3 linked regions of the Mytilus edulis genome follow. The protein of the gene in region 1 purifies or fractionates together with the protein of each later gene. This does not show direct contact. Links are inferred from orthologs where the notes say so. Each region holds a gene or a part of one and is shown on either strand. Other genes may lie near its edges.

Evidence for each region.
Region 2: the proteins of E3 ubiquitin-protein ligase RNF185-like (region 1) and sigma non-opioid intracellular receptor 1-like purify together in Homo sapiens (affinity purification with mass spectrometry; 3 studies listed by BioGRID and IntAct, with this or other methods). This does not show direct contact. The link is inferred for Mytilus edulis from reciprocal best matches to the Homo sapiens genes RNF185 and SIGMAR1.
Region 3: the proteins of E3 ubiquitin-protein ligase RNF185-like (region 1) and transmembrane and ubiquitin-like domain-containing protein 1 purify together in Homo sapiens (affinity purification with western blotting; 3 studies listed by BioGRID and IntAct, with this or other methods). This does not show direct contact. The link is inferred for Mytilus edulis from reciprocal best matches to the Homo sapiens genes RNF185 and TMUB2.

Annotation. Positions count from the first base shown.
Region 1 is NC_092349.1:12,202,498-12,206,263, forward strand, and holds the start of E3 ubiquitin-protein ligase RNF185-like, read right to left. Parts: upstream 2,779-3,766; 5' UTR 2,615-2,778; coding exon 2,451-2,614; intron 818-2,450; coding exon 686-817; intron 1-685. UniProt on the Homo sapiens protein: E3 ubiquitin-protein ligase that regulates selective mitochondrial autophagy by mediating 'Lys-63'-linked polyubiquitination of BNIP1.
Region 2 is NC_092356.1:46,422,207-46,425,972, reverse strand, and holds the start of sigma non-opioid intracellular receptor 1-like, read right to left. Parts: upstream 2,259-3,766; 5' UTR 2,188-2,258; coding exon 2,052-2,187; intron 1-2,051. UniProt on the Homo sapiens protein: Functions in lipid transport from the endoplasmic reticulum and is involved in a wide array of cellular functions probably through regulation of the biogenesis of lipid microdomains at the plasma membrane.
Region 3 is NC_092345.1:53,519,819-53,523,584, reverse strand, and holds the start of transmembrane and ubiquitin-like domain-containing protein 1, read right to left. Parts: upstream 2,427-3,766; 5' UTR 2,307-2,426; exon of another isoform or gene 2,251-2,306; intron 1,747-2,250; 5' UTR 1,734-1,746; coding exon 895-1,733; intron 1-894.

The sequences.
Region 1 (3,766 bases):
TCCCGCACCCGGAGGCGTCCTTCAGCTGGCCCCTAAACAAATATATACTAGTCCAGTGATAATGAACGCCATACTAATTTCCAAATTGTACACAAGAAACTAAAATTAAAATAATACAAGACTAACAAAGGCCAGAGGCTCCTGACTTGGGACAGGCGCAAAAATGCGGCGGGGTTAAACATGTTTGTGAGATCTCAACCCTCCCCCTATACCTCTAACCAATGTAGTAAAGTAAACGCATAACAATACGCACATTAAAATTCAGTTCAAGAGAAATCCGAGTCTGATGTCAGAAGATGTAACCAAAGAAAATAAACAAAATGACAATAATACATAAATAACAACAGACTACTAGCAGTTAACTGACATGCCAGCTCCAGACTTCAACTAAACTGACTGAAAGATTATGATTTCATCATATGAACATCAGGCACAATCCTTCCCGTTAGGGGTTTAGTATCATACCATCATAACATATATGAGAAGAACATAACCCGTGTCATGCCAACAACTGTTTTTAGAATAAATGTGTTTAGTTCCGATGCAAAGACCTTATCAGTGACTCAATATTAACGCCAAAAATGTATGCTTTGATTTTAAAATTTTACAGGTGACTTTTTTGCAAGGTATATTACATTATTATCATGATTATTCTACATGTTCTATAATTCACTGCTTCACATACCTTGGGTCAGTTTTATCGGTTGACCCTCTGCCATAAATAGGTATTACTTTATCTTTATCTATTCCAGCTTTACAAACTGGACACAGTTTTCTGTTAGGTCTTGTTTCTAACCACTGATGCAGACATGGCCAGCTGAAAATGTATTGATTTAAGATAGAGATATGGTTGAATTATATCATATCTAGCTATTTGACACTGCATGATTCTTTTCTGAGTGACAATAAGTTGACTACTTCCGTGAACACTGTACCAGTAATATTTAAAATATAATATTAATGCATGCATATATATGCAAGACAAGTTTTTACCCAAAAAAAATTAAATAAATACACAAAAAAAAATATGGTTAGTCTGTTTCTTCTTCTCCTCCCAATTAGGGAGTAGACTCCTAGGTACAACATGTAAGAGTGAAGAACTTCCTAAAACTTGTGTGCTATGTACATATGGACGTCACTTGAATTAAAATTAATGTAATACATGTAATAAGGAAAATAGTTAACAATAACATACATGTACATATATAAATCATGTACATTATGTACATGTACAGTGTGCATGTCTGTCAGTGACTTGGTCATTTAATAAGTTTGTCTCATATAAATGCATAACATGTATAATGTAAATTGATGAAACAAGTACAAAATGTATGTGTTGTACTGTTGTAGTAAAAGTACAGTACAAATGTAATAAAAATCATTGACTGTGAAAAAATGAATAAATATTATCATGACTAATGAATGTCTTCTTCTGATGATGATATACAATGTACAACTGTATACAGTTACAGCTTCATCTATATTAAAGATCACCAACTGTTAATGTGATTTTTGAATGTTTTAAATGTGGATAATGGATTAAAATGCACATTTATAACCCCTAAGAGTTAACCTCCCAAATGGGTTTTGGATTATTTTTTAAATAAGTTTATATTTGGTGCCAATTTAATTATTTTGAAACTGGAGTAGGATCATAAAGATAAGTCTTCAAAATTTCATAACTGTATTCAGGATTCAACTCTGGATCACCTACATGTACAAAACGTAGCACACTAAGCCACAGCTCTAACACCTGAGTTTAAGGAGTAAGTACAAAATGTACTCAACTTGCATATGGTTATATATATATATATATATATATATATATACAACTCGTCTCAACATCAACCCAACAATGTTAGATCTATAAATTTGCTTTCGCAAATGTTTGGTTCTTCCCTCGCCGGGATTCGAACCCATGCTACTGTGATATCGTGACACCAAATCGCCTGCACTGCAGCCGTCCCGCTAGACCACACGACCAACTGGGCTCTCTAAAAAAGAGCTTTTGCTGGCCGTGTGTTACCTTTCCACGTCAGTTTTAATCTAGCGGCGTACTGCAGTACATGATATATAAGGCATGAAGATGTTATTGTTACAGATCAGCTAAATTATCTATAGTAAAGGATCCTACAAATGAATGTTAGATACAGTCACAGAAAATAATTATATTAATATATATCTACCAGGAAAGGTGAAGCTGTTTCAAACATTATGAAATAGTGACTATGAATGAACAGGTACTGTGAATGCCTTCTTAAAATCATACAAGAGTGACTGCCAATAAGAACCATCAGAAGGCTGATATAAAATGTATCCCCACTCCTTGATCTGGATAACCAATTACAAAATATATATCAACTCGACTCTTGAGTGACATCAGATATGTTTGACTTTTCTTTATTTTGCACTAGGCCTATAAACAATATACAGTGGAATAATATACTTACCAAAACAAATGACCACACATGCTGACAACAGCATCTTTGGCAGTGTCAAGACAAATGTTACATTCATAAAATGTGGAGTCTTCGTTTTCAGGTGTCTCAGATTTGTTCGGCGGAACATCACACCCACCTTCCGCTCCTTCTGGTGTCTGTGTAGTGGAACTCATTTTACTTTACTTAATGCTTTTCATTTCATTAAAACTATATCAATTCTAGTATTAACACCTAAAACGTCGAAAATGTGTTTACATTCTGTTTCTAGAACACAGGAAGTCAATTTTGTTGACGTTCCATTACACATGCGTATAACAGATTTTTAAGATAAAGTGTCAGTTCTATGTTGCCGAGTAAGTAAATAAAACTTTATTTGGATTCGGCATATTGGCAAACAATTCAAGCATTAGCTCTAATGAGCTTTTCACCGAATATAAAAACATATACAATAACAAATAAAACAAGGCATGCAGCATGCAATAAATAATTAAAAGCAGCACCAAAAATTAACTTTAAGCAAATAAAATATACATGTATCTTGCAAAATAACCAAAACATAATATATATGAAGCACTAATTTTTTTTTAATAAAATAAAATCAATATTGCAAATATGACGTTATGTTATGTTATGTTATGTTATGTTATGTTATGTTATGTTATGTTATGTTATGTTATGTTATGTTATGTGTTGTGTTGTGTTGTGTTGTGTTATGTTATGTGTTGTGTTGTGTTGTGTTGTGTTGTGTTATGTGTTGTGTTATGTTATGTTATGTTATGTTATGTTATGTTATGTTATGTTATGTTATGTGTTGTGTTGTGTTGTGTTGTGTTGTGTTGTGTTGTGTTGTGTTGTGTTATGTGTTGTGTTATGTGTTGTGTTGTGTTATGTTATGTTATGTTATGTTATGTTATGTGTTGTGTTGTGTTGTGTTGTGTTGTGTTGTGTTATGTGTTGTGTTGTGTTATGTTATGTTATGTTATGTTATGTTATGTTATGTGTTGTGTTGTGTTGTGTTGTGTTGTGTTATGTGTTGTGTTGTGTTGTGTTGTGTTATGTTATGTTATGTTATGTTATGTTATGTTATGTGTTATGTAATGTTATATCATGTTATGTTATGTGTTATGTTATGTTATGTTCATCAAATATTTTCCAACTGAGTCATAAAAGGGGAGTTAACAAAAAAGTCATATTATTAAATTATTTCATGAAGGAATTTTAATATATATATATATATATATATAAGTTAAAAGTTAATGTATTTGTTCTTTTAAATCAAAATTCATATGAGAAATTAGGTATCTACTTTCCTTCATCAAATTTTG
Region 2 (3,766 bases), on another chromosome or scaffold:
CTGTGTTGTCTAGATGACCAGGTCATTTCAGGTGATGACCTTGTACTGAGTCTAGGATAATGACATAAAAATCACTTGTTTAAGTATCAGACCTCAATTTCCTTCCCAAAAATCACTTCTTTAAGTATAATTCTTTTAATAACCCCACTAATTTCAACACCCCTGAACAGTGAAATTTTTTATCGCAAAACAGTAGAATTTTATTACATAATCTGAAAGATGAAACCTTGAACTTCACAGGAAAAATACTCCCACTGCTGGGAAAAATCTTTTAAGAAAGTATCAGTTCATATGTAAAGCCATTATTATAGCATTTTTTTCAACTAAAATAGAATTTTCAGCTAAATGATAGCATCAAAGGCATAAACCTTGCTACTTAAAAGAAGCAAAAAGTTCATTTTTTTTTTTAATTTTACTAATTAAAAGATATTTTTTAAACCTATGTGTTTAAAATTTTGAAAAAACTACAAAATCCCAATTTGTGACAAAACCTCGAATTTGCTACTCATATAAGTGATTTAAAAATCACTTATTTTAGTAAGTCCCCTGACTGTTGAAGCTACATGGTATACATACAGAATATGCTAGCATAGAATAGATTAGAACAGAATAATTTTCACCATATTAGGGCCCCATTGGGGCATATAACATTATAAACAATAACAAACATTATGCTATCATATGCAATGCACAGACATATATATGTTACAGGGAATTTGTGAAATTAGGGATTTTGTAAAATCACTGAAATTTCAGGGAATTTGTAAAATCACTGAACTGATTAGTGATTTTATAAAATCCCTGATTTTGACTAGTGATTTTACAAAATCCCTGTAATAATTAAAATCTTTTTTACAGATTCACTGATTAAATTCAGGCAATTTGTAAAATAAATTCACTCATTTTTATTTAGAATTTCTGTGAAAAAAAAAACATACTGCAGTAATACTCTATAAGTTTGAGGTTAATCTAGGTTTTATTTTAATATTAAGAGAGCAGTTTTCATGCACTATATAACTGACATACTGTAGAACATTGGCTCAAGCACAGATGTCTTTAAATCAAGAGCAAACATGGCATTAGAGAAGGAAAAACATACATGTATGTAAGGTATAAGAGTGGGTTAGGGTATGTGATCCAGTGGCAAATATTACATGCATATCATCTTATTGCTGCATGAAAATTGACATATAAAAAGAAAATAAGTGTTGTCAGTATTATTAAGTTGCCTACACAATACATGTAACAGTTATATTCACCAAATAATAAGAAAAAAGACAACAGAAAATATAATAAGGATGCTTTGCTTTGTACCTGTATGTTTATGAATAGGTTCTAACTAAGCAGAAAATAAAAAAAGTTTTACTTACTTTGATCATATATCAGATAGATGTATTCTATATAACAAAGTTTCTAAACTTTCTCAACTCTTGTAATCCAAATAAATTAAATATTTTGTTTAATAATATTGTATGAAGTTCTCCAATATGGAGATTTGAAAAATTCGGTAAAAGCGGTATTCATCAGATGAAGATGTTTTAAAAATTTATGGATGTCTTGAAGACATGTACAGCATAGTTCAGAAAATTCACATATCAATAGGTCATGGCGGTAGGGACGAAATAGTATCAAAGTAGATGTCACCCTAACTTGCCTAGTGCAAAAATAAGTAAATTCACAGTGGTCTAAATATAAGTTTACATGCCATTTAGTCTTTATCAGTATACACTAGTTCTAGCTCATAGACTAAGTGTTTAATAAAGAAATATATTTCAAAATCATTAGTGATCATTAGTCTATTTTTATTTAAAGAAAAACACATTTATAATAGCAAGTTATATTTAATTGTTATCAGGGATTTTACAAAATCTCTTGCTCTATTTTCAGTGATTTTGTAAAATCCCTAACAATTTCAGGGATTTTACAAAACCACTGAAACTGTTAGGGATTTTACAAAATCACTGATTCACTGATTTTACAAATTCCCTGTAACATATATAATTTATATATAACGTCCTATTTATTAACCTTATTTTACACACTTTACTTACCTGTATGTTTTCGAGCTATTTCTGCAATCTCTTTATGATCAGTAAGAAATGTTTTGTTCTGCATCCAATATTGCACACAAAATACAACAAAACACATGAAAAATATAATCTTAATAGCTGACATAAGAGAGAACATTGTGATTTTTCAACATTAACGACGTACTGTCAACAAAGAAAATTTTAGTTTAAAAAAAAGTCTGGTAAATGTTGACCTAAATCCGGGTTTCCTTTTCCTGTTTAAGGAAGCTCGATTATGTTGAAATATTTTTACGTAAGATATGAAATATATTTTTAACAATATCTATTAGAGCTCTCGTCTTCATTTAACGGTCAACATTACGAATATATTAATTCCTGTGATATTGAGCATGTTGAGGGAATATGAGATAAAGTACAAAAGCTAGTAACTTTGAAAAAGAATATTAAAGAAAACATGGAAAAAGACTCAGATTTTTCGGTGGAAATCCCTCAATTTAAAAGATTTCTTAGCTCAGCTATCGTCCTTCGAGGAAACAAAACATTTTTACCGAATAAGTAATTTATCACAAAGACGTATATTTCTTACATTCAGTAAAATTGAGTTATTTCTCTTTTTCTATGAGACACTCAGTGAGATAATTATAGAATAACTAATGGAAGAATTCAAATAGAGAAAAATATTCAACGAGTGACCGAACAACACATTAATTCACGAATGCGCGTAGCGCATGAGTTAATTATCAGTGTTGTTCGGTCACGAGTTGAATATTTTTCGATATTTGAATTCTTTAATTAGTTATTCTTTTTATTACATTGGCAAATGGCTTTTTTAACGAAATTAATATAAAACATGTAAGGAACTATATCTTTTTTCTACGCATTCACAATTTGTTTTGATCCGCCGTTATCGACGTCTTGACAACGCCTATAGTTGTATGACGTCAGAGAGTGAAATAACCACGTTTATTTCACATGTGAAATTATCGGTTTTTATTTAACTGGAAAATCAATGTAATTCATTGCAACCAATGTAATAATTTTTTTTAATAAATCGAACACTGCAAAATTTAGGAAGGAAATGTGCAATAAATATAACCACAAATTTTCAAGACATTGTATTTTATAGTTTCGTTACGTTATATAAACTCAGATAGAAAATTTGAAATTGTATTGTCATCTATCTAATTCTGGAGATTGTGCACAATAAAGCCCATGTTGTGCGTTCGATCCCGGCTGCGTCAAACAAAAGACTTTGGAATTTGTGTTCGCTGCTTTTCCGCTTATCCACTAGCTTAGTCGGAGCAAAGATTGGCGATCATTTTTTTTTGTTCATTGGCAGAAGGAAGCCCGGAGAGAAGCACTGACCCTGATCAGTAGGAAAACTGACTACTCAAATCAATTCAGATTACTTAATTAGTCAGTCACAAAGACCTTTTATACATCTGAATAGCTCTTACTTTTGCAGTTTTTCAATTCATATTATTGTCTGTTTATCTCAATTCCCAAATCGTTCCGTAGAATTAATCTCAACTTAAGGATGGCATTGCATTTAAATACCTTCCTATGAGAAATCCTTAGAGGACAATGTTGAAAGATTCATGACCAGAAATGATTACACCATTTGACTTCTTTAAAACTATGATTTACATATTGTATCTTTTCAAATAGTAAATTAATCTAACCACAATGTATGAGTTCCTGTTTGGTATCACAACTGTAGTTCAAAATGTGTCTAA
Region 3 (3,766 bases), on another chromosome or scaffold:
ACTTTCATTGTATTGCTATGATAGTTTTACCATGGGTACTAACTATATTTGTCAATACCTACAAGGAACAAAGTTACATCTACATGTATGAGTGAGTTTTTTGGGTTTTTTTTCATTTTTTTATTGACATCTGTACATTTGTTAGTAATGAATGAGGTTTTATATGTTGCTGTGTTACATGTTTGTACATGAATTAGGCTGTTAGTATTCTCTTTTCATTTTTTTTTACATTTGTCATTTGAAGTAATGAATGAGGTTTTATATGTTGCTGTGTTACATGTTTGTACATGAATTAGGCTATTAGTATTCTCTTTTCATTTTTTTTTACATTTGTCATTTGAGAACCTTTACAAGTGTGATAGCTGACTGTGGAATGAGTTTTACTCATTGTTGAAGGCCATATAGTGACCTATATTTGTTAATTGATGAGTCATTTGGTCTATTGATGAGAGTGCTCTCATAAATTTGCAATCATAATGATTATGCTAAAAGTCTTATATAGAACTACAATTCAGCTGGAGTTTAAATTGTTCAATAAATTAGAAATACAAACTGTTCTACAGTGACATGTACATTATTTTGGATAATTTTCAGTTCTTCAAAGTTGATTACAGTACTATATAAAGTATGTATTGAAAATTATAAACAGAGTAAGCAACAAGGGTGTTAACATATTTGCACTTTTGATATTAAGCTGAATTTTATCTACAAATAACTTTAGATCTGCTCTAAATAACCTTTTGATGTCAAGTAACAGTGAGTCACTTTTTAATTATGATCTAAATTGGTTAAAAAACTTGTGATGTCATATTTTACAACAACTTGTGTGATTTAAAGTAATGGCAGACAAATATGCATACAAGTGTAAATATGTGTATTATATATATGTCATACCTTCTAAACTGTTCAATTGTATCCTCTAAAGATGCTTCAACATTTCTCTGAGTGTCATTTAGGTATTTCAGTCGTATCCGAACTCTATCACTCTGACTAGAATTAGTTTCCGATTCAGAGGAAACATTTATTTCAGCACTGTTCAAATTTTCAGTTTCATTTTTAACAGACTCAGTTGTTTTATTGGATTCATTGTTTTGTAAATTTGATGGAAGTTCATTGTTTGATGAATTTGATGGGTTTCTGTCATTTATAACAATGGTCTCTGATTCATGATTTTTATTTTCTTTTTTTGTCTCTATAACTTGATTTTTATCAGAAAAGAATGCAACCCTTCTACGTCTCAGTTCAGTTTCTGTTGTAGGCAAGTCATCACTATCTTCATTTCTGTCCTCTAACACCCTATCTTCCCCTGATTCTTCTGTAATCACATTTTCGTTAGATGATTCTTTTTTGTCTTTTGTCTTTGATACATCATCTGTTTGAACTGGAATTTGACTTACTGCTCCTGTCACTTGTTCGTTTACACTATCAACAGAGGAGGACCTACTGGCATTGTCAGTCTCCTCCTGAATGGATGTGTCCCCTGTTGATTCCTCACTAGAGGTAGAACTTACAGCAGAACTATCACTTGCTTCAACACTGTTAGTCTGTTGCGCATTTCTATTCTGTCTTCTTGTGAAGTCTATTACAATGATACTAAAGAAAGGTAGTTCTTGAATATTTGTTGAAAACCATGCAATACAGAGAAGTAGAAATATTAGAAAAATGGTAAAAACAACAGTAACTTCATCTCCTATCCCTTCAATAAGTGGCATATCTGTGTACAGGTGGTACATACACTTTGAGTACCTGAAAATAAATCAGAAATCTAAATTAATAACACCAATGATTATCTTTGGTTAAATATCTCATTTCTCTGTCATCTTTTATTTATAAAAACATTAACGGTACAAATTTTCCTGCACCAGATGCTTATTTCGACAATGTAACTTTCATAGACTTGGGACAATTTAGAGCTTGACATATACATTTGTAATGTGGACATCTGTATTCATTTGGTTGTGAGAAGCGATCAAGATGTAGACTGTACGTACATTGGTTGCTTTTGTCATTGGGTAGATGTCTCATTGATGAATACTGGTATTCACCAACTACAGGAGATCCAAATCGTATAATGAATGTCAAAACAATTTGTATATCAGCCTATCCCTGTTGGAAATTTTCATCATTGGACAAGATCATCAGATATGAAAATATAACTTTTTAACAAGTGTAAATTAATGTGGGTCAAGGGGGACTGTTTCTTTTTTAGAAGATATTGGAACAAGTGTACAAACTACTTTGTGGATTGACCTATTTCTTTAAAAATATTCGCTACCAGTTTGTTTACTGTTTTCGTAAATATTGACCAACAAATCGCTTCGTCTTCATCGACACCTGTCAAACACAACGCCACCTATAGTTTATCAATCTGGCTTAAATTATTTTTTCCTATGAGCAAAGGCAATAAAGGAGAAACAAAAAGGAAACCAGATGGCAACAATAAATTCATTGTCGGTATACGGAGAAAGACCCAAATTTTACGGAAACCGTGCATCCGCAAAATTAATGAAATATTTTATGTATAATTTTACTAAAAAATGCAATACATCATTTTGACCTTACAACAAAGCCTATACTATTATATGGGTGTGAAATTTGGGGATATTTTAATCCCTTTACTGCACATTTATAAAAAAGAAAACTTATCGGTGGATACAATCTACTCTAGGATACTTTGTGAAAAACTTCATACTAAATTCTGAAAATATATTTTAGGTATAGAAAAAGTACAAACTTTGCAGTTTTGTCTTAATTATGACGTTTTCCTCTGCATTATGACATAGTCAAACATGTTTTAAGATATTTGCATCGTTTTTAAGGTATTTGCATCATTTCCTTTGTTAAAGGGCGCATATGATTGTTCTAAACTTGCTATTTGCAAGGACGTATAACTAACATACGTCCTTGCTATTTGTAACAAAAAAAAAAAAAAACTCTTGGTATGGATCAATTAATATTTTAAGGGAAAATATGTCAGGCATATAAAACCACATACCAGAAAAATATTCAACATTTAAGATCATTTAAATTACACTGGGGTCTGATTGTTAAGGGATACTATACTGCATTGTTGAAAAACAGCTAGATATACATACCTTCATGATTTGATTGATATAAAAATTAACAAGTATGATTTAAGATCACAGGAAACAGCAGTACTCCCAAGAGTTCGAACTACTAAGTATGGCTTAAGATCGTTTCGCTATAATGCTACACAAATCTGGAATGAGCTACCGAACCATTGTCGAATGGAAACATCTTTGGACCAATTCAAAAAATTGGTACAAACATGGGATCCAAGTAACAGCTCATGCCAGTGCAGTGCATGCATAATTGTAGTGTTTATGCCTGTTTTATTTTTACTTTTATTTTTTGTGTGATTATATGATTTGTGCAATCTTATTATTAACTTGTGCTATGTTTTAAGTGTACTATATGCTTTTAACTTATATATGTCATTTATGGTATTTTACTATGCATTATATGTTTAAAATTGTGTTGTTTTAATGACTTTTGTATGTGTGTATTGTATTGTGTGTGTGTGTGTGTGTATTGTATTTTGTTATTAAGTCGATTTGAAAAGCTCACTAGAGCTTGTGTTATGTAGTTTATTGAATATCGACTCTAAATAAAACTTTGAAAAAAAAAACGACTTTGGTTTTGAAAATTATTTGTTGATAATGCGACTTTTTGAGCAAAGGAAATGTATTACTAGATTAAGAATATCTGCTCACAAAGTTGCAAATAGTGAATCTGGCAGATACCA